Lepisosteus oculatus: one gene and its partners. The protein of the gene in region 1 purifies or fractionates together with the protein of each later gene. This does not show direct contact. Links are inferred from orthologs where the notes say so. Each region holds a gene or a part of one and is shown on either strand. Other genes may lie near its edges.

Region 1 (7,347 bases):
GAGAGAGAGACAAGGCAGAGAGAGAGACGGGCAGGGAGAGAGACAAGGGGCAGAGAGAGAGACGGGGCAGAGAGAGAGATGGGGCAGGGAGAGAGATGGGGCAGGGAGAGAGAGATGGGCAGGGAAGGAGACAAGGGGCAGAGAGAAATGGGCAGAGGGAGACAGAAGCAGAGAGAGAGACAGGGCAGAGACAAGGACGGACAGAGAAAGACAGAGAGAGAGACAGGGAAAGAGAGAAAGACAGAAGCAGAGAGAGGAAGACAGGGACAGAGAGAGATGAGCACAGAATATGATACCTTTTCTAACAACATTGCCTCATCTGTCTCTCAAATCCAAATAGTTTTATTGACATTAAAGGTTAATCACAGTTAATAGCAATTAGTTAATAACAGTTAGTAACAATTTTTACAACAAAAACACATTATTAGACTTTTCCATCCATCCATTTTCTAATCGTTATATCCAGCGCAGGTTTGCGGGGGGCCGAGTGAGGCACGCTGTGGGCGCAAGGTAGGACACCAGTCCATCACGGGGCACACAGACACCCCAGGGCACATTTCCCAGAAGACAATCAACCCTCCAGTATGTCTTTAGATTGTGAGAGAGGAGGAAACCGGAGCACCCAGAGGAAACTCGCAAACACAGGGAGAACATACAAACTCCATGCCGACAGCACCCCAGGAATTTCCAACATGAACTATTAGAGTCTCACTGTCTGTTCCTCAGGCTGGGACAGGAGATCACACACTGTATTATTATTATTGAGAGACAGGCTCACTGTCTGTTCCTCAGGCTGGGACAGGAGATCACACACTGTATTATTATTATTGAGAGACAGGCTCACTGTCTATTCCTCAGGCTGGGACAGGAGATCACACACTGTATTATTATTGAGAGACAGGCTCACTGTCTGTTCCTCAGACATATTCCAGATTTACAACAAAGACATATCATCAAATATTTACATATACTGTTAACAAATGGAGCATTATTGGGAGACAGGCTCACTGTTCCTCAGGCTGTGACAGGATATCACATACTGGGCTGCCAGTTCAATTGAGTTCCCTCCTCCCTCTTCCAGTAGGATTGGGACCCATTGTGATTCTGGCAGGTGTGGAAACTCTGGGACTAGATTTCTGAGTTTAGGGAAGAATGTTTCTCTAATTCCAGAGTATCTGTCACAGTGCAGTAGGAAGTGCACCTCTGTCTCTATTTCTCCCCGCTGGCAGTGGGAGCACAGCCTGTCCTCTCTGGGCAGACAGGTCTGCCTGTGTCGCCCAGTTTCTATGGCCAGGTTGTGGTCACTGAGCCTGTACTTCATCAGGGTCTGTTTCTTTTTGTTGTTTCTTATCTTGGTCAAATATTCAGCTAGTGTGTATTGTCTGTTTAGGGTTCTGTAGCATTCCAGTTTGTTGTTTGTGTGTGTGTGTCCCAGTGTGTGAGATGTTGCTGTTTGATCTGTGCTGTGATGTGCTTGGGTCTGAGTTGTGGTGCTCTAGCAGTGCCGTCCTGAGACTGGCTGGTGTCGGTGTGGCTCAGGACCAGCTGGCTCAGGGGGCTCTGTTTTGGGCTCAGCTCTTGGCTCAGCAGGGCTTTGTGGTGGTAGGAATTTTGGTCGCTGTTTTTTAGGTGTAGCCAATACACTCTCTCACTCTCTCAGATACACTCTCTGTCTCAGTCACACACTGTCTCAGACACATGCTCACTCTCTCACTCTCACAGACATGCTCAGTTTGTGTTGAGCAGCTGTTAATTTAGAAACACCAATCAACGCTGAACACCATGAATTTGGATACATTTTGAGCTGGCCAGCTATCTGTGTGGAGTTTGCATGTTCTTCTCCATGTGCAGGTTTGCTCCAAGTGTCCAGAGTCAGCTTGGGTAAGAGGGGTGCCAGTCTGTGTGTCCCCAATCGCCCATACTGGCATGTACTGTGGCACTGGCCCCTGGGCTGGCCTCAGCCTGTTCCAGAGCCTGCTGAGGTCAGAGCCAGAGCAAAGGGCTGGCTCTCGCGGGGCACCAGGCCTGACTCACCGGCCTCAGACAGCAGAAGGACACAGGTACCAGCGCAGGGGAGGCACCTGCTGAAACAGCCATCTATCCCGGCGCAGGAGAAGATTCACAGCTCAACTCTCCCAGCAGTCTCTGGAGCTCTGCAGAGGGGGGGATACCCACTGCAACAGACAACCCAGCCAAATAATTACAGACCAGTATGTCTGCCTTCTGTGGCATATAAAGTAATGGAAACAATAATCAGAAGACAACCAGGGGATCATCAGTATTAAAAAGAACATCCTAGTCAATGTGGATTTTAAAAAGACAGATCTCTTTAACTACCGTGTACCTTGATCAGCAGGAAACAGAGCGAGCGCCACTGGGCATTCAGATCTTCAGAAGGCTACTGACAATGTTGCTGCCAACAGATGTACTGTCAGGTGTGTCCGGTCGTGACCACGAGGAGGACCTTCCTCTGTCGGAGTGTTGTTAAATGGGACATGATTAGAAATGCGATCAACGCAGATACGGAGGCGGCCAGCTTCTCTAACATTTTAGCGCTCACGGGACTCGAGGGTGACTAATTACTGTGGAAGCAGGCAGGAAAGGTGTCTGCAGGGAGATGTTTGATGCCGCTGGCAGTCATACTTATATGGTAATAAACTTATCCCGCACATACCTCTCTAATTAAACACTTAGCGCTGCCTCCGAGCCCCGGGAGCAGCACCCTCAAGCCACGCCCCCATGCCGCTCCGCCACTGGCCGGTCCGGCCCAGATTGGCCTGCTCCGATTGGGCGGGGGGCGTGGCTGGGAGCCTGGCCCCGCCCCGCAGCCGCGCCCTGCCCGGTCCCAGCCAGTCTGCGCGGAAGCAGCCGCTCAGGCCGAGAGGAGACAAGCGCTCGCTGCTACTGCGCGTTTCCACCGAGCTGCACGACAACTGCTTTCTCGCCGCCGAGCTGGGACAGCGGGACGGGGAGCCGACCGAGTTCAGAAGGGTTTCAGACGATTCTCTGTTCGTCGTTGGCCCAGGTAAAGTGCCCTCTGTCAGCCTCAGCCGGACCAGGAACTTCGTGCTCTTGCGCTTCGTCACCGGCGGCTGAGCGGGCGTGGGGCGCTGCCGTGCTCGGGCTCCTACAGGAAGTGCGCCGGGAGGGAGCCGGGGTCCAACTCGTACGGGTCGCGCACGCCGGGTTAGTGGAGTCCTGCGGCTGCTGGGCTTGGGGGTGTTTCCGGGGTCGCGGTGGGTCTGTTTCCCGGGCTGCCGGCTGCTCCGACGGTCTCCGGGGCGGGAGGGACGGAGAGACACGGGCCCCCGAGCTGTCAGGGTCAGGACCGGGTCACTCGGGCCGGGAGCGGGCTTGTCTGGTCTCTTTCTGCTCACGCCCTGCAGAAACGCGCGTGTTTTAGGACCTGCACCCTCACCGCCAGCTCAGGTGAAACAGCGACACGCCGCCGCAGTGCGGCTCCAGTCCGGGTTTTCCTGGCGCCCGGGCTGAGCGGGTGACACTCGTGCCGTGGGGTGTGGAGACCTGGGAGCAGCAGCCGCACCCTCACCTCTCCGGGATGATCTCATCCACCGAGGAAGTGGCGCTGGCCACGGCGCGAGCCGCGACTGGGAGGGCTGGTGGGCGAGCTCGCGGCCGGTCCACGGCACGCCGTGGCGGTTCCCAGCCCGGTCTGATTCGGGTCCGGGGTCCTGCCTCCGAAGGAAATTTCTTATCGCGAGCCCGGGAGGCTCATTTCCGGCCGGTCTCGCCTGAGCCTAATCTTTCCACGGGCGTGGGGGGGAATCGCGTGGAACAATTAGGGGGACGGGTCGACCGGGACCGGCGGTGTCTGGAGTCTGAGGTCGGGGTCAGGGGTTCAGATACAACCGTTTTGTCACAGAATATTTATGGGTCCTGGTTTCACCCTGTGCTGGGTGCTGGAGACATCCTGCGGTTCTTGGCACTGTAGTGTTTGGACTGGGCCTCCCCAGAACTGCCCTGCCTGACGTCTCTGCGTGGTCTCGGGCTGTGGGAGTCTGTTAGTGTACCTGGCCTCTGGCAACGATGTCACTTCCTCCCTGTGCTCTGAGTGTGATGTCACTTCCTGTCTCTGTGCTGGAGCTCTCAGGCACCTGGGCGGATGTGGACACGCGTCCGACAACAGGAAGTTGAGGTGCGATGCTGCACCAAGCAGCCAAAAGTGTTCTGTCTCACCAGGCTTGCAGACGGCCCAGGGGGGAGAGAGGGGTTTGGGTTGAGGGGGTTTGGGGAGACATTGAGGGGGGCAGTGAGGGTGAGAGGGACAGTGAGGGGTTTGGGGTGAGGAGGGGTGTTTATAGCGAGGGTGTTGTCAGGCTCGGGTGAGGGTCACTGTGGGGGTGAATCTGTTCTGCGGAGCAGTGGCAGGAGAGGGGTTGCAGGTTTTCTCACCAGTGTCTCTGTGACTGAGGCGCATGTGCACAGTGCCCCTGGTGGCGCCCCCTGCGGGTCAAGGAGGGGGTTACAGTAGGTGAGCACGGTCTCATCTGTGCTGGGCAGATGGGCTCCCAGACACCTGGAGTCCATCTCGGCTTTTCTCAGCAGCTGAGAGCTCCTGAGTCCGTTCTGGTGGAGCAGAAAAGCAGCCGTTTCTGTTCCTGAACCGCGGTTCCTTCAGGTGCCTGTTCGAGGGCCTGCGGCGGGTGGTAAAACCCGGGGTGGATCTGGATCTGGCTGCAGGGACACTGCAGTCACGTCCTGTGAAACTGTGGCTGAGCAGCGCTGGCGGTGCCACCAGACAGCCAGGTGACCTGGGTCTACCGATCCAAGGGAGGAGAAGAGCCGGCAGCGGGCGGAGGAGTGTGGCTCTTCCGTACCCCAGTAGCGGTCCTGCTGTGCGACGCTCGGGGCCAAGCCCCGGGTGTGTGTGCGTGCTCTGCTGTGTGTGGAATTGGGCAGCTGTGTCGCAGTCTTGGTTGTGGCCTGTGTGTGCTGGAGGGGAGGTATTCGTGGTGGCTCTGACCCTGGCGCTGGGCAGTCTGAGGCAGGGGGGGTGCCCTTAGCACAGAGCTCTCGTGTCTCTCCTCGTACACTGGCCTGCCTGCCGCCGTCTCTCTGTCCTGGAGACCCGGTCAGTGTCCGGAACGGGACAGAGGACAAGAGCGCAGGTGCAGTTCTGCCCTGGACTGTGTGGGTGTGGCCGATAACGAGATTGCAGGAGCTGCTGGCTCCCTGTGCTGACTTGTCCTCGAGCTCGGCAGACATTCCTGCTCTGTGCACTCCGTCAGGAATGAGCTGCTCTTCTCGTTGCCTGGGGACCCGCTGACTGCTCACTTCCTGTTGGGAAGTTTTCCCTGTATCCTTATCTGTATCCCTTATCTCCCTGTGTGGCTGTGGGCTATCGAGGGGCGGAGACGCTGGTGGCCAGCAGTCCTGATGATTTGTCTGCTGAGCAGGGTACTGGCAGTGTCAGCGGTTCTGCTGCAGGACAGCCCAGTGGCAGCAATTATGTACCTCTTAGTTCACTGGCTGACTGGTCAGCAGAAGCTCTTCCTGGAGTGTCCAATGGGGGGCGCTCACAGGCTGTATCCTTCCTCCAGTGCTGCTGCTGCTGTCTCAGTGTCCTCTGAATGAATGCAAATGAGGCTCCAGCCACATAGTGTGAGGGCCGGTGTTTTAATGGTGTTGAGCAGCTGCTTGCTCAGCAGTGGGCCCAGTGGGGTGTGTTGTCAGCCTGGGCTGTGCCCTGTGATCCCAGAACCGGTGCTCGATCAGCAGCAGCCTGTGCCTGTGTGAAGAAGAGAGCTCTGAGGGTGTATCCGCCTGTGAGCAAGGGAGTGTGTCACACAGCAGAGAGAATGAGCCAGGTCTGCTGTGACTTTCAGCTGCAGGGCTCACGGTCTGGCCTGATGCTGGTCTCTGCCTGTGCTGACAGCAGCTGCATTTCTGGAATTCTCTCCTTATCCATTAGCGAGTGGAATGGTAGGAATGTGTCCCAGAGGACAGGGGAAACAGAAGGCAGCCCGGGTCGGTGCAGAAGGGCCTGGATTGGATCAGGGCCTCTCTGCTGCCCTGCGGTGTGGGTACTGTTCTCAGGGTGGAGGTGTGATGAGCACTGTGTTCAGGGTAGAGGTGTGTACTTTGGGGAGCACTGAGTTTAGGGTAGGGGTGTGTGTACTTTGGGGAGTGCTGTGTTCAGGGTGGGCGTGGGAAGCACTGACTTCTTCAGCTGTGGGGTCACAGGGGTCATGGGAAACTGGAAAGGGAGAAGAGCTCTCATCTCCAGACTCGGTGAGCTCTGTTGCAGTGACCAGTGAGTAAGTACTGCTAATCAACAACATAAATCCTGTTAGTTATTTCCATCCATATCTGAAAAAAACATCCGAGACTGGCTCTCTGCTCCTTAGGCTGTGGCAGGAGATTGCATACTGGGCACAGGGTGTGGTCCTGCAGTCCTCCAGTTTGTGTCTCTCTCCCAGTGGGGGAGGCAGTGCTGGTCAGTGTGTGTTGTTTGTGTGCGTGTGTCCCAGTGGGAGAGGCAGTGCTGGTCAGTGTGTGTGTGTTTGTGTGCGTGTGTCCCAGTGGGAGAGGCAGTGCTGGTCAGTGTGTGTGTGTTTGTGTGTGTGTGTCCCAGTGGGGGAGGCAGTGCTGTGTGTGTTGTGCTGTGTGGTGGGTGTTGCTGTAGCTGGTTGCTGTCAGTGAGCTTCAGGACCAGCTGGCTGAGGGCTCTTCTCTGGGCTCAGCTCTGGCTCAGCAGGGTCTTGTGATGCTGGGAGCTCTGCTCACTGGTTCTCAGGGGTGACCAGTATTTTCTTGCAGTCTTCTGTATGTTGGTCAGCAGTGGGTATCTGCCTATTCAGCCCAGGATTTGTTTCTGTCTCTATCCTTATTCTGGTAGAGCAACTGCCCTGTCCTTATCTGCAGGAATCAGAGTAGTTAATAGGCAGAGCAGCAATTTATCCCTCCACACGCACATGCACAGACATGCGCAAAGACACGCACACACCCTTTCCTGTTGTTCAGCACTCCTGACAGACGGCGGGGGGAGGGAAAAAGGCTGAATCTTTGTATTTAGCAACAGTGTGACCTGGTGTGGTCTTTGTACAGATTAGATCTCTCTCTTCTTGCCTCTGGGTTTATTGGTCTCTCTTTCCTGAGCCTATAAAATTCTTTAAGTTCATCCTGAGCCTGTTTCTTTCAGATTTTTTAAATTCAAGCAGGTTTATTGGCATGACTGATGAATTTCAGTGTTGCCAAAGCAGATACAATTAACACAACATCTACAGATGTTGACAATACAAACACATCTCGGGACACTTACATACAACATATAGAACATTACACACTATATTATTATTATTGAGAGACAGACTCACTGTTCCTCAG
Region 2 (7,347 bases), on another chromosome or scaffold:
CCTGTACGTGGTTTCCTTTTGTTTGCAAACACAGTATGTATACTGACCTCTCTTTTTGTGTGTGATCACATTTGGATCAGTACGTGTATAAGAATGTCTGTGCTTTATTTGGATTGCTTTGGGTTGCGTTTTTAATGCTGGAGGTGACGGGAGAATCGTACATAAATCTGTGTGTTCAGTTTGTCTTGTTTAACACTGCGTTTTTCAGTCTGTAACAGTGTCGTTGTGTCCTGTAGCCCACGGCAGCTACACCTGACATCATGCAGTCCACATTTCGTAAACCCAAACTGAAGGTACTGAGTGTCACACTGGTGTTGTGTGTGTGTGTGTGTGTGTGCGTGCATGTGCCTTTTAACTGGGAGCAAACCTTATATGGGTGAGTTTATCATACGTGGGTGCAGAGTTGCTTCCAATTCCAATAAAATCGCTAGGTAACCCAGAAGATTTCTGGGACGTCGTGAGCTGTGCTGCTGGGGCTCGTCCTGCTCTGATGCTTGCGGTGTGAGCCGCATGTATGCGCTGGGTTTGACTTCGCATTGCAGAGGCAGTGCGTCGGGCTCTGGCGCAGGGAGTCGTGCTCTTGCTTTGCGCTTGCATTCATCCTGTGGACTACAGCAGCTCCTGCTCCAGGGCTCTCGTACTCCGCCTGTGATCTGTGCCAGGGCACTCCTCAGTCACGTCGGTCTCGGGCCTGGGCTCTCCCTGTGCCTTCTTCCTCCTGTTCCTCATGAGCTCTGGGTTGCCCAGATCTACTGAACCTTTCATTGAACTATTTGTGTTTAAAAATCAGTTTCAGCTCTTGAAAAGGAGGTTAGAAATTGGCATGAACCCTGTTCAGAGTTCCAACAGTTTATGATTTACGGTGGAGTTTGAGAAATGAGTCTGAGGCACCAGGACAAATACTTATTATGCAAGTGTCTGGTAGTCATTCCTGCCTGTTTATACATCATCTGATCCTTGATTTCCTTGTTTAGGAAGCTGTCTGAAAGCGCCGATTGTGTACCAAGCTGAAATTTCTGCTGCAACATTTTTTAGAAATAGTTGCGCATAAAGGAGATTTTCTGAAACTGAGATCCGAGTGCAGAACCCAGTTGGATAAAAAAGACGTGGGGCAAATAAAGGTTCAGCAGATGTAATTAATCCACAGCTCAACAGCAGTAAAAACTGATGGTTACTCCAGGAAAGGGCAACGCTGTTAGAGAGGTTTTGTAAATGAGGGTTAAAGCAAATGAGCTGATTGTGGCTGGCTGGAGAAAATCTGAGCAGGTGGTGGTAGATGATGCACTGCAGTACTGGGGAGAAATTGTGTGTGCCCTGCGATGGACTGGCGTCCTGGCCAGGGTGTGTCTTTGTGTGCCCTGCGATGGACTGGCGTCCTGGCCAGGGTGTGTCCTGCCTTGCACCGTTGCCTGCTGGGATAGACTCTGGCCCCGGCTGCCTTGTGTTGGGGAAACGGACTGGACTTCGTTGTGAGAACGTGTTTCCTGGATTTGCTCTGTGCTTGTGTTCCTTATCCAGCAGTTTGGTGTTGTTTTTCTGTGTGTGCTGCATGCGAGTGTATTTCTGCACGTGGAAACAAACTGCCTCTTGGAACTTTTTTCTTCTTTGTTTTGCTCTTTGGGAAAAGGGTTGCTTTAATATTTTTAATGTCAGGGTTTGTCAATGGAAGGATTTCTCTTCAGTTTCCAGGTTCAGCTCAAGTTTATCATTAAATGTAAGTGTGCAGTTGAGTAAAGCACCCAGTGAAATTTTGCCTTTTGCTTCTCTCTGTATTGTGAGATGCAGTGTGCTGGGAGTGTTGCAAGACGTCTGTCCCCCCTGTAGTGGGGAAGCTTGAGAAAGGTGCAGTGGTTTATTAAAAACTGATCTTTTTTCTTATGTTCTTCATGGACTTTAAAAGTTTCTTGTGCCTTCTTAATAAAAACTCGTTATACACCATAATGAAAGGTGTGGGAGTCCGTGGGGTTAAATTAAGCGCAGTCCAGGGTGTCTGATGGTAGATGGCCTAATTTGCTCGGCACGTGCTGTTGAAAGTGTTTAGAAATGGCTGCAGGTGTGCAGATGACCAGATAGTAGTTGCAAATACTGTAGATGAACCATCTTATAAAACCGCCCCATCTGACGGCAGGGGAGTGACTCAAACACATCGGCTTCCTAGGGGACGAAGTGAGCAGGTCGGTGGGGGGAACAAGACGTTTAAGGTGTGGCCACTCGGCAGGCAGATCCCAGCAGTCCTGTTTCCTGTTTTGCTCAGTTGCACTTCGGCCCCGGCCCCTGGAACGCGGATCGGAGGTGACCTCATCCGTTTCCTCCTGCTGCTTGGTTCTGCAGCCTGCTGGGTATTGTGGACAAGCACGGCCCTTTGCTGGCGGGTTAGAAATCCCAATCCCAGGCTGATTTATGTGTTTGGTTACGTATCAATATGAATTGATGTTATCTCAGATAATGACTCATTGTTGTTTGAATATTTTTTGGGTGGTGCAAATATCTGCTATCTATTACTTCGTTATGGCCCTCGGCTCCAGTTTACAGTGAGCGCTGATCTGCCAGGCGTACTTCAGCGGTGATCGAATTCCTCAGGGACGGGGCGGCCTCTATAAATACCGTTGTCCTGTCCTGGAATGTGGAGCATGCAGCTGTAGAAGCCTGCTGGGGGGAGTGGCTGGACAGGGGCACATCTCTTGCATGTCAGCTGATGGCTACATCCCTGGCATTGGAAGTCTCCTTTTTACTCTGAATTTATTTTTCAGCTGTAAAAGCAGCTTTTTTGAAAAGGTCTGGCCCCCCCCCCCCCAGGCCAATTGCGAGACCTCCTCATGATGGCTAAGCATTTGGAATGCAGCGGGTGTTATTTTTGTTGTGGGTTTTCAATAAACGCAAAATGCCTGTTGAAAAAGGGAGCTGCTAGCATCGTTCATCGCCCCTCTCCACGCACACGCACGCACACAGCTCCGCGCGGCGTGGAACGCAGGGGCGGCCGGCGGGGGCGGCGGAGCGCGCGGGGCTGGGCGTGGCCGGCGGCGGAGGGGCGCGCCGGCGGGCAGAAGCTTCCAGAGCCGGCCGCGCGCTCGTTATCAGCGCGGAGGGAGGGGTCCGCGAGCCCTGTGCGAGCGGGGGGGGCTCGCGGGGGCTCACTCTGTCTGACCGGGGTCACGACCTCCCTCGCCTTCCCGACCGCGGTGCAGGCTTGAGCTGTAGTGGAGTGTGTAGTCAAGCCATCTTGCGAGTCCCTTTCGCTTACAGAGGCAGCAGCTGGGGGCCGAGACGTGATCCAGTCAGATCAATTTCCGAAAGCGTTGCGACTCTCTTTTCGTTGATTTTTGTGAGCGAGAGTCGGGTTTGTGTTGGCCGTTGGTCTCCTTGAACTGACGTCCTGATGTCTGTCAGACCGGCAGGACTTGAGTAAGGGAGCTGCTCGGAATGGAAAAAAGAAATCCGGTAGTTTAGTGCTGCCCGGCGTGTGGTTTGTCAAGAGACTTGGAATCCGCAGCTATCTGAGGGAGAGCTCGGTGTGGATCTGAGTGGCCTTATCTGGCTGCTACAGCAGCTCCGTGCTGCACGGCGATACCTCGCTGCCAGCCAGCGTGACTCTTGCCTTGTCTGTCGTTCCTTAGTGAAGCAGGAGGCGCTGGCACTGCGGACCGGGCACTGAGCCCCATGCCTGGCGTATGCAGGAACACCCCATCGTCACAGGTCTGGGTCCTGTAGGCACAGGAGTGGTCTGTGAGGGTTTGCAGTTAGCCGGCAGTGCGTTTTGGAGCAGTTCGCGTGGGGAGGGGGGGGGCCGCGTGTCTCTGGGGGGTTTCTGACCTGTCGCAGGAGTGAAAATCCCAAAGGGCTTTGGTGGTTGATGAGATCTAGCAGGTTGCGGGTCAGTCAGGCCAGCAGTGCGTGAGGGGTTTCAGAGTGGGGGTGGTCTGTCCTCCCTCTCGCCATGTCCAGCAGGAAGGCAGGGGCTCGGCTGTCCCAGCACCCTGCAGAGGGGGAGGCCAGACGCCCGCGGCGAGGCCAGTTCCCCGTCCATCCGGGCGTCCGCGAGAAGACAGCTGCACGACCTGGTGCCAGGAGAACAGGACTGCAGCACCTGCTTGCTTAGTGGAAACCAGCGTTTTCCTCACGGCTTTGATGTGGTTCCAGCTGCTGTTTGAACGCAAGGCGCCGGCAGACATCTTTCATTCTGGAGTCATAGCTGGCACTTAGTCCTAGCCTGACTCATCCGGAGTCCTGCTCCTCAGATCGCAGCAGTGAGATAAAGGGAGGGACTTTGACACAGTGCTGCCACGGGCCTTTCATTTCTCTGCTGCACGTTCCTGCCCTGGGTCAGGGTTCGCTGTGAAGCGTCCCAGCGCGAAGGGCGGGGCTGAGCCGGGAGCTGCAGTCGCCCTCTCGGGTCTCGGCCTGCTTGGCGTCTGTCCTCGACCCGCCAGCTGTTTGTTAGCGTCTCGGCCAACAGCTGCTCCCCCTCATCTGGTGCCAGCTGGGAAAGCCATCAGGAGGGGGACAGGACAGCCGCAGGGATTTCTTTCAGCTTCATGAGAGAGTGAATAAAGAAAGTTCACAAGATTCTGATCGGGGAGAACCGAGATGTTGCCCGTTTCCCCTCGCTCTCGTTTAGAAGGGGGGCGTTCTCGCGAGTTAGCAGTGTAGCGTGTACCCCGTGTGCTTGGGTCGACAGCTCGTTTGGCTTTCTGCAGGTATTCACAGATATGGTTGTGGAAAGCAGGGTTCTTCATTTTAAATTTAAACTTCTCCGTTGTGCCGCGTGAGGCATGTCAAAATCGCTTCCGATCTAATGCGGCGTGGTGATGCACAAATACTGGAAAGGCCGCGAGACACAGTTAATAATTAGGGCTTTGAAGTTTGGGTCTGGTAAGCTTTAGGGACTGCTGGAAAGGTTATAAACAGAGCAAAATAAAACCCAGCAGGTGTGAGCAGCAGCTGAATGGTGTCCTTCTTTCCCTCCTCCCTCCCTTGTGGAGAAACCAGCTGGACACAGGCCCCTGGTCTCCAGCGGTGTTTTACCTGGGTTTTGTTTCACCTTTGGTCAAGTAGTGACCCTGATTATATTCCTAGAGGCGTATATGGCTCTCATGAAGGGCACAGTCGTTCCTCTTCTAAAGAGCAGCTCAGGGCCTGGCCGGAGTGTCGCAGTTGCCTGCGCGATGAGAGCAGCTCTGAGGGCGAGGCCCTCTGTGGGCTGAGCCGGAGACCCCTGCTGGCGAGACCCGGTACTGCGCCGGGAGCTCTGGGGGCCCCGAGTGTGACTCTCTTCCTGTGTGTGTGTGCGTGGGCTCAGAGGATGGACACCAGCGGCATGAAGGTGCTGGAGACGGCAGATGACATCCAGGAGCGCAGGCAGCAGGTGCTGGACCGCTACCGCCGCTTCAAGGAGCTGTCCACGCTGCGCCGGCAGAAGCTGGAGGACTCCTACCGCTTCCAGTTCTTCCGCCGCGACGCCGACGAGCTGGAGAAGTGGATCCAGGAGAAGCTGCAGATCGCCTCCGACGAGAACTACAAGGACCCCACCAACCTGCAGGTCAGGAGCCCCCGCCCCCAGGGCTCTCTCTGCGAATGGGGCCTTGAGCCCGGGAGGTTCGCGTGTGCTCTCTAGGTAGAGGCCTCTAGCGCGTCCCATGTGGCTTCCTTTGTGTGAGGGAAATGCCGCAGTCCACACCGGACCTTTCCTGTATGTCCACGGCCGTCTGGAAAAGAAAAACTGGTCTCGCTGTCGCAGCTGCGTAGCTCGCTAATTAAGACCTTGTGCTGATGGCAGTGTTCCCCCCCTTTCCAATGCCTGGGGCCCTCTCGGATCCATGGTGCCCGGAAAAAAACCCGGATTTGCGCGGGCTCCGCTAAAAGCGTCTTCCTCCTCTCGCGTCTCCAGGGGAAGCTGCAGAAGCACCAGGCCTTCGAGGCCGAGGTCCAGGCCAACGCCGGCGCCATCATCAAGCTGGACGAGACCGGGAGCCAGATGATCGCCGAGGGCCACTTCGCCTCCGAGATCATCCGGGTACGAGGCCGGCCGCCGGGAGCCACCGGGCCTTTCGGCTTATTTTGTTTTATTTTGAAAAGCTTTTCCTGTCACATTGGCGGTTTTTGTGGGTTTTGTAACACCACTGTCCCCCTCTGTCTGGTTCAGTCCTTCACACCCTACCGGACTGCCCAGCGGCCCATAGTAAAATCGGTCCATATCACTGCCTATATACAAGTAGGTGCCTGGGTGCTGTGGAGCTCTTCCTGTCCAGTTTCACCCCTCGCCTCTCCCTCTCCTCTGCTTCCCATCTCGAAAGTTTTGATTGCTGTGTAATTATGGATATTTGGTGCATCTGTCCTTTAAAATGTGTGGCAGTGAGTGGCCTCAGGCGTGGGTCGCTCACCAAAGCAGACGGAGGCTGAACTGTTTGTCCTCGGGGGTTGTTGCTGTTCTTCTAAAGATGGAAGAGCTCTTATTTTGTGGGCAGGGTCTGTGCATGCAGGTATTCCTGTTCTCGCTGTTTGAGAGTGCCGTCGTTGGAGGGCTCGGTCTTCGTGACCGATCTCTCACTCCCAGATCTTGGATTTTGGGAAAATTTCAGTATGTAAACTCATAAAGCTGAGAAGGCTGGCTGACAATGATGGGGGGGAAAACCAGTTCTCAACAGCATATTGGCTTAGTAAAATTGGGCTATCGCGATCTCCAAGGCAAGTAGTAGAAAGGCTTTGAGTGCTGTGCCTCAGGCACATTAACCTGATCCCGCAGGAATGGGTGATGAAGTCAGTCTGGACACCCAGATGGGCGAGGCTCGGCGCCGGAGTGCTTCCTGGACCGGGCCTCTCCCTGCTTTCGAGGCTCGGCGCCGGAGCCCTCTCCGGACCGGGCCTCATGCCGCTCTTGGTTCCAGACCCGGCTGGAGGAGCTCCACCGTCTGTGGGACCTGCTGCTGCAGAAGACCAGGGAGAAGGGCGTGCGCCTGCTGCAGGCCCAGAAGCTGGTGCAGTACCTGCGGGAGTGCGAGGACGCCCTGGACTGGATCAGCGACAAGGTGCGGCAGCTTTGGAGGGTTTTTAAAGAAGTGAATGTATATAGATATCATTTGTTTAAATATAAGTTACAGGTGTAATAAAAGATTCCGTTTTAAGGAACGGTGAAAGTGCCTCAGCATGCGTATCCCCGATCCTGGGCATAAATGTCTTCTTTCACCTGACACTGGCAGTCATGGGGGTGAGAGGCCATAGATTTTGCAGAGGGATTGTAGGGTAAATATTGGACACTGTGTTATAGCTGGAGCCTGCCTCTGTCAACCGCTGGTAGATGTACAAGCCTACTTCTGGCTTTACTTTGTCGCAGACCATGTAGACCATGTCAGT
Region 3 (7,347 bases), on another chromosome or scaffold:
GTGCTGTGAAGGGTCGGAAGAGAGGAAGAACAGCCTCTATATACAGAGTATGTGAAGCTACTGGAGCTGCTTGTTCCCCTGGGTCAATATTCAACGGAGATCTCTGCAGACCGCTTCACAGAAACCTTCTGCTGTGTGGGGCGTGTCCAGTGGCCAGGCTGAGTTAGGCTCAGCTGCCAGCAGACAGTTACTCTCTCCATAGCCCTGCGCTATCAGCCAGCCAGCAACCAGCTGGAGCTACTGCACTGAAGATAAGCCTGTGAGCTCTCAGTGTAAAAAGAGCCCATTTCCTCTGCCAGTCTACACCAAAATTAACAGTGCTGAAACTGCAGAAGACATACAGAGCTTTAAACAACTGAAAGTCAATTCTGCCAATTCTGCGCAGCAAACTGCCTCCGGGACCTGAAAAATGTTTGCAAAAGCGTCTGCGAGCACTCGGTGCTTTCATCCAAGAGGACCCTCGATGGCTGCACCAGCGGGATTAAGGGGGAACTTCAGGCAGACCAGACTGTACAATCCCAGAGAGGAAACCAGCCAGGAAACCCAGGATCTCTAACGAGCACGCAGTCGGGACCTCAGGTGAGAAGTCTCAACTGAAGGACAGCGCCTCCTACAGCACAGTATCCCTGGGCCTCAATTTAGGAATTAAAGCCTGGAGGGCAGAGCGCCTCCTACAGGTCCTGTTCAAGTTTAAAGAAACACGTCAAAGGATTCTAAGAATAGTCCAGAAAAACACTGTAACAGAAATAAGGCAAGCTGGAGGTAATACAGGTGTGACTTCTAAAACGCTACTGACAGAGGAAGCTGAAGTATAGCATTCTATCTGCTGATTTGTTTTTCTCAGATAGCAGGATGTTGTTGGCCAGATGATATATACCCAGGAAAGGCAACACAATCGATGATACATTACTTAAACTGTATATTATTTTTATCCACTAAACTAGTGCATCTGCTTTAGACCTGTGGTCAGTTGTGTCCTTCTTTCGCCTGCTGGGATCTCCATGTGGGCCAAACGTCACACGAAAGGCGACCTCCCCCCACTGCAGGGCTGTGGGTGTCCTGGGCCAGGGGTGCTCTTCACTGACCCAGAGGTTTCGCCACACTAGAGCGAGGGGGGGAATCTTCACCTGCAGATGCTAATGGACTGGCGTCACGGGAGAGGGCCGGACGCTGACCGCGATCCAGGCCTCGCGAGCCCAGCCAGGGCACGAGGAGTCCTGCCAGAGAGGCAGTGGGAGAGGTGCCGACCCCCGGCTTGTCTTGTCTTGCTTCGAGCCAGAACAGGCTCCCTCTCTGCCCGTCCAGCTGTAGACTCAAACTGCGCCCAGCTACAGCACGCGGACTGGTGCCGCAGGGCTGCTGGGGTTTCCCTCACTCTGCGCAGCGACGATTCTGCACTGGGTGGCCAGGAAGCTTCATTCCCCGGCTTGGCGAGTTTTGAGGGTCACTGGGTGTCCTCTGAGAAACGTATGGGGCTCCCCAGTGACTCCTCCCGTACAGGTGCGAGCCCCAGCTTAGGCTGAGCTCCCTGATCCCGGGTTCGAGCCTGGGTCACATCACTAATGCACTGTAACAGGGATTCCCCAAACGGTGCTGTCCATCAGGGACTAGTCAAGCAGAGCTCTCTCAGCTCCTAGTAACATAGCGGGGCCTGTCCTGACGCTTGTCCTCCTGTAGGGGGCGAAGAAGCCCAAGACATGTGGTAGGAGCCTGTCTGCTCTGCCCAATCTGCTGCTGTCAGCCGAGACTTGAAATCTTCCAAATGGCAATTCCGAATTGCGTGGATACATAACAAAAACACAAACAGAAAAACCTCATCATTGCTGTGGCCTGAGGACATAAGTGGGAGAGCGTGCTCAGGAGCAGACGGCGCTACGGCGGACCTGCGCATCGGCTGCTGGAGAGCCAGTCAGGGATGGCCTGGACCAGGGTCAGGCTGGTGAGCTCCTGTCGGCGTGCAAACAAGACAAGAGCACAACCGCCTGGGCTCCCTGTGCAAATGAACACATTCCTTTTTTTTTTCCAGACCAGAAAGACTCAAACTTCCCAAAGCAGACAACCCTGAGCAAAACTGATCCTCGTCCCAGGATAAATGAAACATTAATAAACAAGTTGGTGCACCTCTGGCAGGAATTGCAGAGCAGGACTGAAGCCCACAGTTGGGGGGGGGGGAGGTCAGGGTTGCGGGTTCGAATCCGTGGTGAGGCACAGCTGTTGTACCATGAGTGAGATATGCCATTCAGATCGCTCCACTAAAACACCCAGTGCTAGGAACAGGTCCCCCGGCAGATACTCTGAGAAATTTTTCTCAAAAGGCTTTGTCAAATAAAACCATAACAAACTCACATCACTCCCTTCCCAGAGTGGAGGTGATGCTCCACTTCCATCATCTAAAAGCTCTCCCATTTAGACATACTTGTCATTACAGGCCATCCTGATATACCTGGATATGCACAACAAATGTTTTATCAACCAATTCTTGGGGCAAATGAGGAAAAACTATCTTTTGAATTGTCATCTTTTGAATAATGAAAGCAGATACTTTGAACTAGTGCACGCCACGCATGGCCCTGCTCCTAACCGGGTCAAACGATTGCAGCTGCACTCTTTCAGGTCCACGTCCGGAAAGGTCGTGGAAAAACAGGTCCAGAGCCCACGGGCAGGCGGGTCTCTGCAGAGTGGCGAGACGGCACCAGGCCGGGCACCTGCGAAACCGATCCCCGACAGTCGCTAGGAAACACGCATCATGCCGGCCGATCCGGGCAACCGGTCCAAAAACCAGAAGGCACTTTATCCTAAAATTGTTCATCAAGCCCCAGCCCGACAGGACGAGCTAAACCCGCGTTGGAAAATCCAGTAATGCAGAGCGGACCACGGCTCGTACAGGTCTGACATCTCGACAGAGGGGGATGTCAACAGGCGCTCGCTCGACACGCCTGGTGCTGCCTCTGTGATTGAACAGCGCTTGAAGACGGGGGTTGAGTCACGGCCAGGAAGAGCCCGGCCCGAAGGCTTGCTGAGAGTGAACGGATCCGACTCTCCGCGTCGTTTCCCTCTCTCGGAGTTGACGTCAGAGGGAGAGAAAACGAAACCAGCTCAGACCTGCAGCTTCACCGCTCACCCACAAGCAAGACAAACTTATCGGGGACGCCCTGAACTTTTCCATTTTCCCACCCGAGACATCTCCATGTCCCGGCTCCCCTGGAGGGGGCTGTGCGGGACTTTAAGCTGAACGATTGAAATGACACCCCCGCTGCCGAAAGCCAATATGAACGCAGTTACACTAGCAAGCCCCTCCAATGAAAAAGTAGCGAAAGCAGCTCGGCGATTGCTGTGAATTCATCACGTACAAACCCCTGCACCTACACGGACCGAGTCAACGCAGGGGATCGCTGTGGCGGACCGATCTTCAGTCAGGTGAAGTGGGGGGACAGGGGAAAATGAGTTAATTTACACCCTGTCAGATCACAGCCTCGGGTTTCCTCTCCGGCGATCGCCTTACCAGCTGTCCCCGGCGCGCAGCCTGTGACCCTGGATAATATCTTCTATCTCTCCGCGCTGGGTCTCCAATCCCGGCGGCTCTGCCGACGAAGACGCGGTAACAGCAGCAGCAGCCATGATAGATCATCAATGTCTGTGTCTGTGAGGGTTCGCGAACTGCCCGAAAAACCACGGAACAGCAGATCGATGGGTCCGACTACCGCCGGAAGCAGGAAGCCATCCGGGCTGAGAAACCACTTCCGGGGGTGTCACTGTGAAATCAGTCCCCCGCTGCCGCCGCACACGCTTCGGCCGAGAGCACGTTTCACCTGCCTTTTCACTAACATTCCGATTAGTTATTAATAATCCGAAGTCGCATTTTAAGAGGGTGTAGGTTTTAATTGAAGAACACAATAATAAACACTGGTATTTGTATGATTTATTTACACCACTAAAAGTACTTTTTACAGTTACAGAGTGAACACTTGAAATAACTTTCCAATAGGATGAACAAACTACATTTCACTGAGTGTGTTATCCTCCGAGTTACAGCAGTGGGTGATGTCTTCGATAAGCACATCTTTATCGTTCTCATAATCACATGTTCCACTTTCGCTCAGCAGGTGGCGCCCTACAAACACACAACGCTGTACTGTTGTAGAGGTTTTGTGTTTGAACTACAACAGAGGAAGGACCTTCAAATATAATAAATAACACCTCCATTCTATTATTATTATTATTATTATTATTATTATTATTATTATTATTAACCAAATTCTTATACATAATACAGATGTAGGTGTAGTCAGTAAATAGTGAAATTCATTTATGAAAGAAAAATAAGTAGACTAGAAAACACTGTAGAGGCAGCAAAGGAGTGTTACAGTATGTGTTGGTACCAAAGTCATGAATAAAAATAAAGGCAAGACAGCCTGAGCTTGAAGAAGACACCTGTGAAAACAATTCAGGTATTTCTGCTCCCGCATCTTCTTCCTCCTGCAGTCAGTGTGGGAAAGCCTTAAGAAAGGCAAATAAAAAAATTAAAAAAACAATTTGAATCCAGGGGTGTTGTGTTAAATTTGTGCAATGCACTAGTAAGACGGTATCTGTGTACAATTCTGTTCACTGTCACACAAACATCCTGGCTGTGGAATCAGTCCTAACTCGGTCCCAGCCCAAATGACTGGTGTGTTCCTGGGCTCTGAAGGAACATCCTGCACCGAACAATGAAACACCCCCCCAAAGACACAAGAGGAAACTACAGGGAAGTGCATTCAGGGCTGAGAACAGGAGGCACTTATTTACATCAAGAGTGGAGGGAGCCTGGAGCAAGAATCCAGCAAGACAGATATCCAGGTGTATTTCAAGAAGCTGGATGTCATAAGACTTATTAGCTACTAGCAACCAAAAACAAGCTAGGCTTGCTGACTTGCATCCTGTTTTTTGCAATCTTGCCACTATTCCCCTATAATTCTGATTATACCACAACAGATGAAAACAGCGACCACTGTAGTGTACAGGGAAGAAAGCCAAGATCATCAACATTGTGGAATTTAGCCCAGACACTGGGGTTAACACCCTTACTCCATGGAACAGTTCTATAGGACCTTCAGTGTTCAGACTTTCAGGAACTCCTACAGCTCAGTTTCCCAGTCACCCTACTGGAGTATTAGTCCAACTACTGGGCCACCAGCACCACTCACAGCAGCAAGCTGGTTTTCCCTGGAGGTCTCTCCCTCCCCTTTCCAGTGCTGACCAGACCCAGCCCTGCTGAGCTTCTGAGACCTGATTAAATCAAGCTACAAGGTGGTAACAGTGCAGCTTGGATTTAACTTTTCTTCTGCTCAGGTTTTTGCTTATTTAGTTTGATCATTTCATTCGACATTTTAACCCCCCGTGACGAACTGTTCCAGATTGCCATTGATCGAGATTGGTCACATCTACAGTCATGTTTCCTTTTTCGTTGTGTGTTCTTTTATTCCCCCCTGAACCCCACTGCCCTAAACCCCAAAACATCCCCTCAGCCTGGTGTACAGTTGTCAGGGGATGTGTGGATCTGAGACAGTGCCTTCGGTCTGCCAGTGGGGGGCAGTACAGGGACAGCCAAGGCTAGGACATAAATGGATGTGACAGGCTGTCAGCGTTGTAAACAGGCTTCAGCCTGGCACTGCATCTAATCGTTTTAGATTGAAGACTGGTGTCCCATTATTTGCCCCTCTCTCGGCCCTCCTGAAGGCTGACACTGGCTTTTCCTTTCACCTGACAGTCGACTCGGAGTCATTTCACACCCAATTTGCCTCGGTGGCCATGACAGAGCCGTGCTGCGTGGGGGACATGATGGCTTTCTCACCTGCCCGCCTACTTTCTAGGCTAAACCGTATATTCAAAGCTTTCAAACCTGCATTTCGTGGTCTTAAACCGTATTGATATGAGATTATGCTGATGGGGACATATTTAGCTACACAATGAAAAATGCATCAGAATCTACAGAATGCAATTCGTCACCACGTTGCATAAAAATACTTGTGCTGTGCAAACAGAATTTGCTATTAAACATGAGATCCAAAGTTTTTTAAGGTCGTTTAAGATATAATTATGAGCACCACTCGCGCTCTGGGGTGTAGCGCGCAGAACGCGTCCTAGAGTTTGTTCCACGCAGGGGAAGAAGGCAGAGACGCGTTTGAATAAACTCTCCATCTTAATGCAGCCTGATTCATGAGGCTGTTACGCCGTGTTGCACCGCAACCGGATCTTAATCGAGTTCGGCGGGCCCCTCCAGAGTACAGCCTTTCATCCCGGACCGCGGCTCGGCAGTTCTAAAGGATCCGAGGGAAAGTTCGGTTCCAAAAGCAGGCTCGTCTCGGGGAATGGCCAGCAGCAGAGACCGGTGTGGTGGAAATCAGTGCGTTTGCAGTAGTGAACAGATTTCAGTAGAAAAGAATCCCATGTTTATTACATTATCTGTAAAGAGCGGAGTGTCCCGAAAAGCGCTATAAAAGTGTGAGCAATTATTATTATTATTATTATTATTATTATTATTATTATTATTATTATCAGTCTTACGAATGATGGCCTACAGCCGGCTGGTGGTTCCTCTCCTGGGCTCCAGTGCACAATTAAGTGCACTGGTGGCTCTGTGGGCAAGGATCTGCGCCTGTGGCTGGAAGGTTGTCAGTTCAAATCCTGCGGCCAGCAGAGGAATCCTATTCCGTTGGGCCCCTGAGCAAGGCCCTTCACCCCAGCTGCTCCAGGGGTGCCGTATAAATGACTGACCCTGCGTGCTGACTTCAAGCTTCTCTCCCTGTCTGTGTGTCTCATGGAGAGCAAGCTGGGGTATGCAAAAAAGACAAATTCCTACTGCAAGAAATTGTATATGGCCAATAAAGTGATCTTAATCTACAGTGTGTCAGGTCCAGGCCTCCTTGAAAGCAGGGCATTCTGGGGCTGAGCTCAAAAGAAGAGCCCGATTTTCTGCTTGGTGTTTCATTGGTGTTACCTCGCAGCTTGGTTTAGCGTAGAACGTGGCATTTTTATAAATGCATCATTACAGCATTATTATTTAATTCTACTGCAGCTTTAGAGTGCGTTTATAAGAGAGAAATCAGCATCTTTGAGAATCATATATACATATATTCGTTCAATAAACACATTTCATTTTCTTGTTTGAAATAATTAAAACGGAATAAAAAAAAAACAGAGAGCTGGAGTCCGACACAGACAGTTTAATCATCCCGTTAATCCCACAGCTCAGTCCCTCTCCTGTAGGAGTCCGCAGGACAGTGGCTGAGCACCAGTGGAGCTCCTGCCGTATTTGAAAGCAGTTTTGCGAAACCTTACAGTGCACTGTGCTCGCTTACGACGACGCAG

What was found.
Region 2: the proteins of myh9a (region 1) and sptan1 fractionate together in Homo sapiens (co-fractionation; 3 studies listed by BioGRID and IntAct, with this or other methods). This does not show direct contact. The link is inferred for Lepisosteus oculatus from reciprocal best matches to the Homo sapiens genes MYH9 and SPTAN1.
Region 3: the proteins of myh9a (region 1) and usp11 purify together in Homo sapiens (affinity purification with mass spectrometry; 3 studies listed by BioGRID, with this or other methods). This does not show direct contact. The link is inferred for Lepisosteus oculatus from reciprocal best matches to the Homo sapiens genes MYH9 and USP11.

What each region holds. Positions count from the first base shown.
Region 1 is NC_090707.1:39,742,236-39,749,582, reverse strand, and holds the start of myh9a (myosin-9), read left to right. Parts: upstream 1-2,935; 5' UTR 2,936-3,025; intron 3,026-7,347. UniProt on the Homo sapiens protein: Cellular myosin that appears to play a role in cytokinesis, cell shape, and specialized functions such as secretion and capping. Required for cortical actin clearance prior to oocyte exocytosis. Promotes cell motility in conjunction with S100A4.
Region 2 is NC_090719.1:15,114,265-15,121,611, forward strand, and holds the start of sptan1 (spectrin alpha chain, non-erythrocytic 1), read left to right. Parts: upstream 1-3,148; 5' UTR 3,149-3,657; coding exon 3,658-3,693; intron 3,694-5,296; coding exon 5,297-5,536; intron 5,537-5,884; coding exon 5,885-6,010; intron 6,011-6,881; coding exon 6,882-7,022; intron 7,023-7,347. UniProt on the Homo sapiens protein: Fodrin, which seems to be involved in secretion, interacts with calmodulin in a calcium-dependent manner and is thus candidate for the calcium-dependent movement of the cytoskeleton at the membrane.
Region 3 is NC_090697.1:76,578,568-76,585,914, forward strand, and holds the start of usp11 (ubiquitin carboxyl-terminal hydrolase 11), read right to left. Parts: upstream 3,710-7,347; 5' UTR 3,619-3,709; coding exon 3,503-3,618; intron 1-3,502.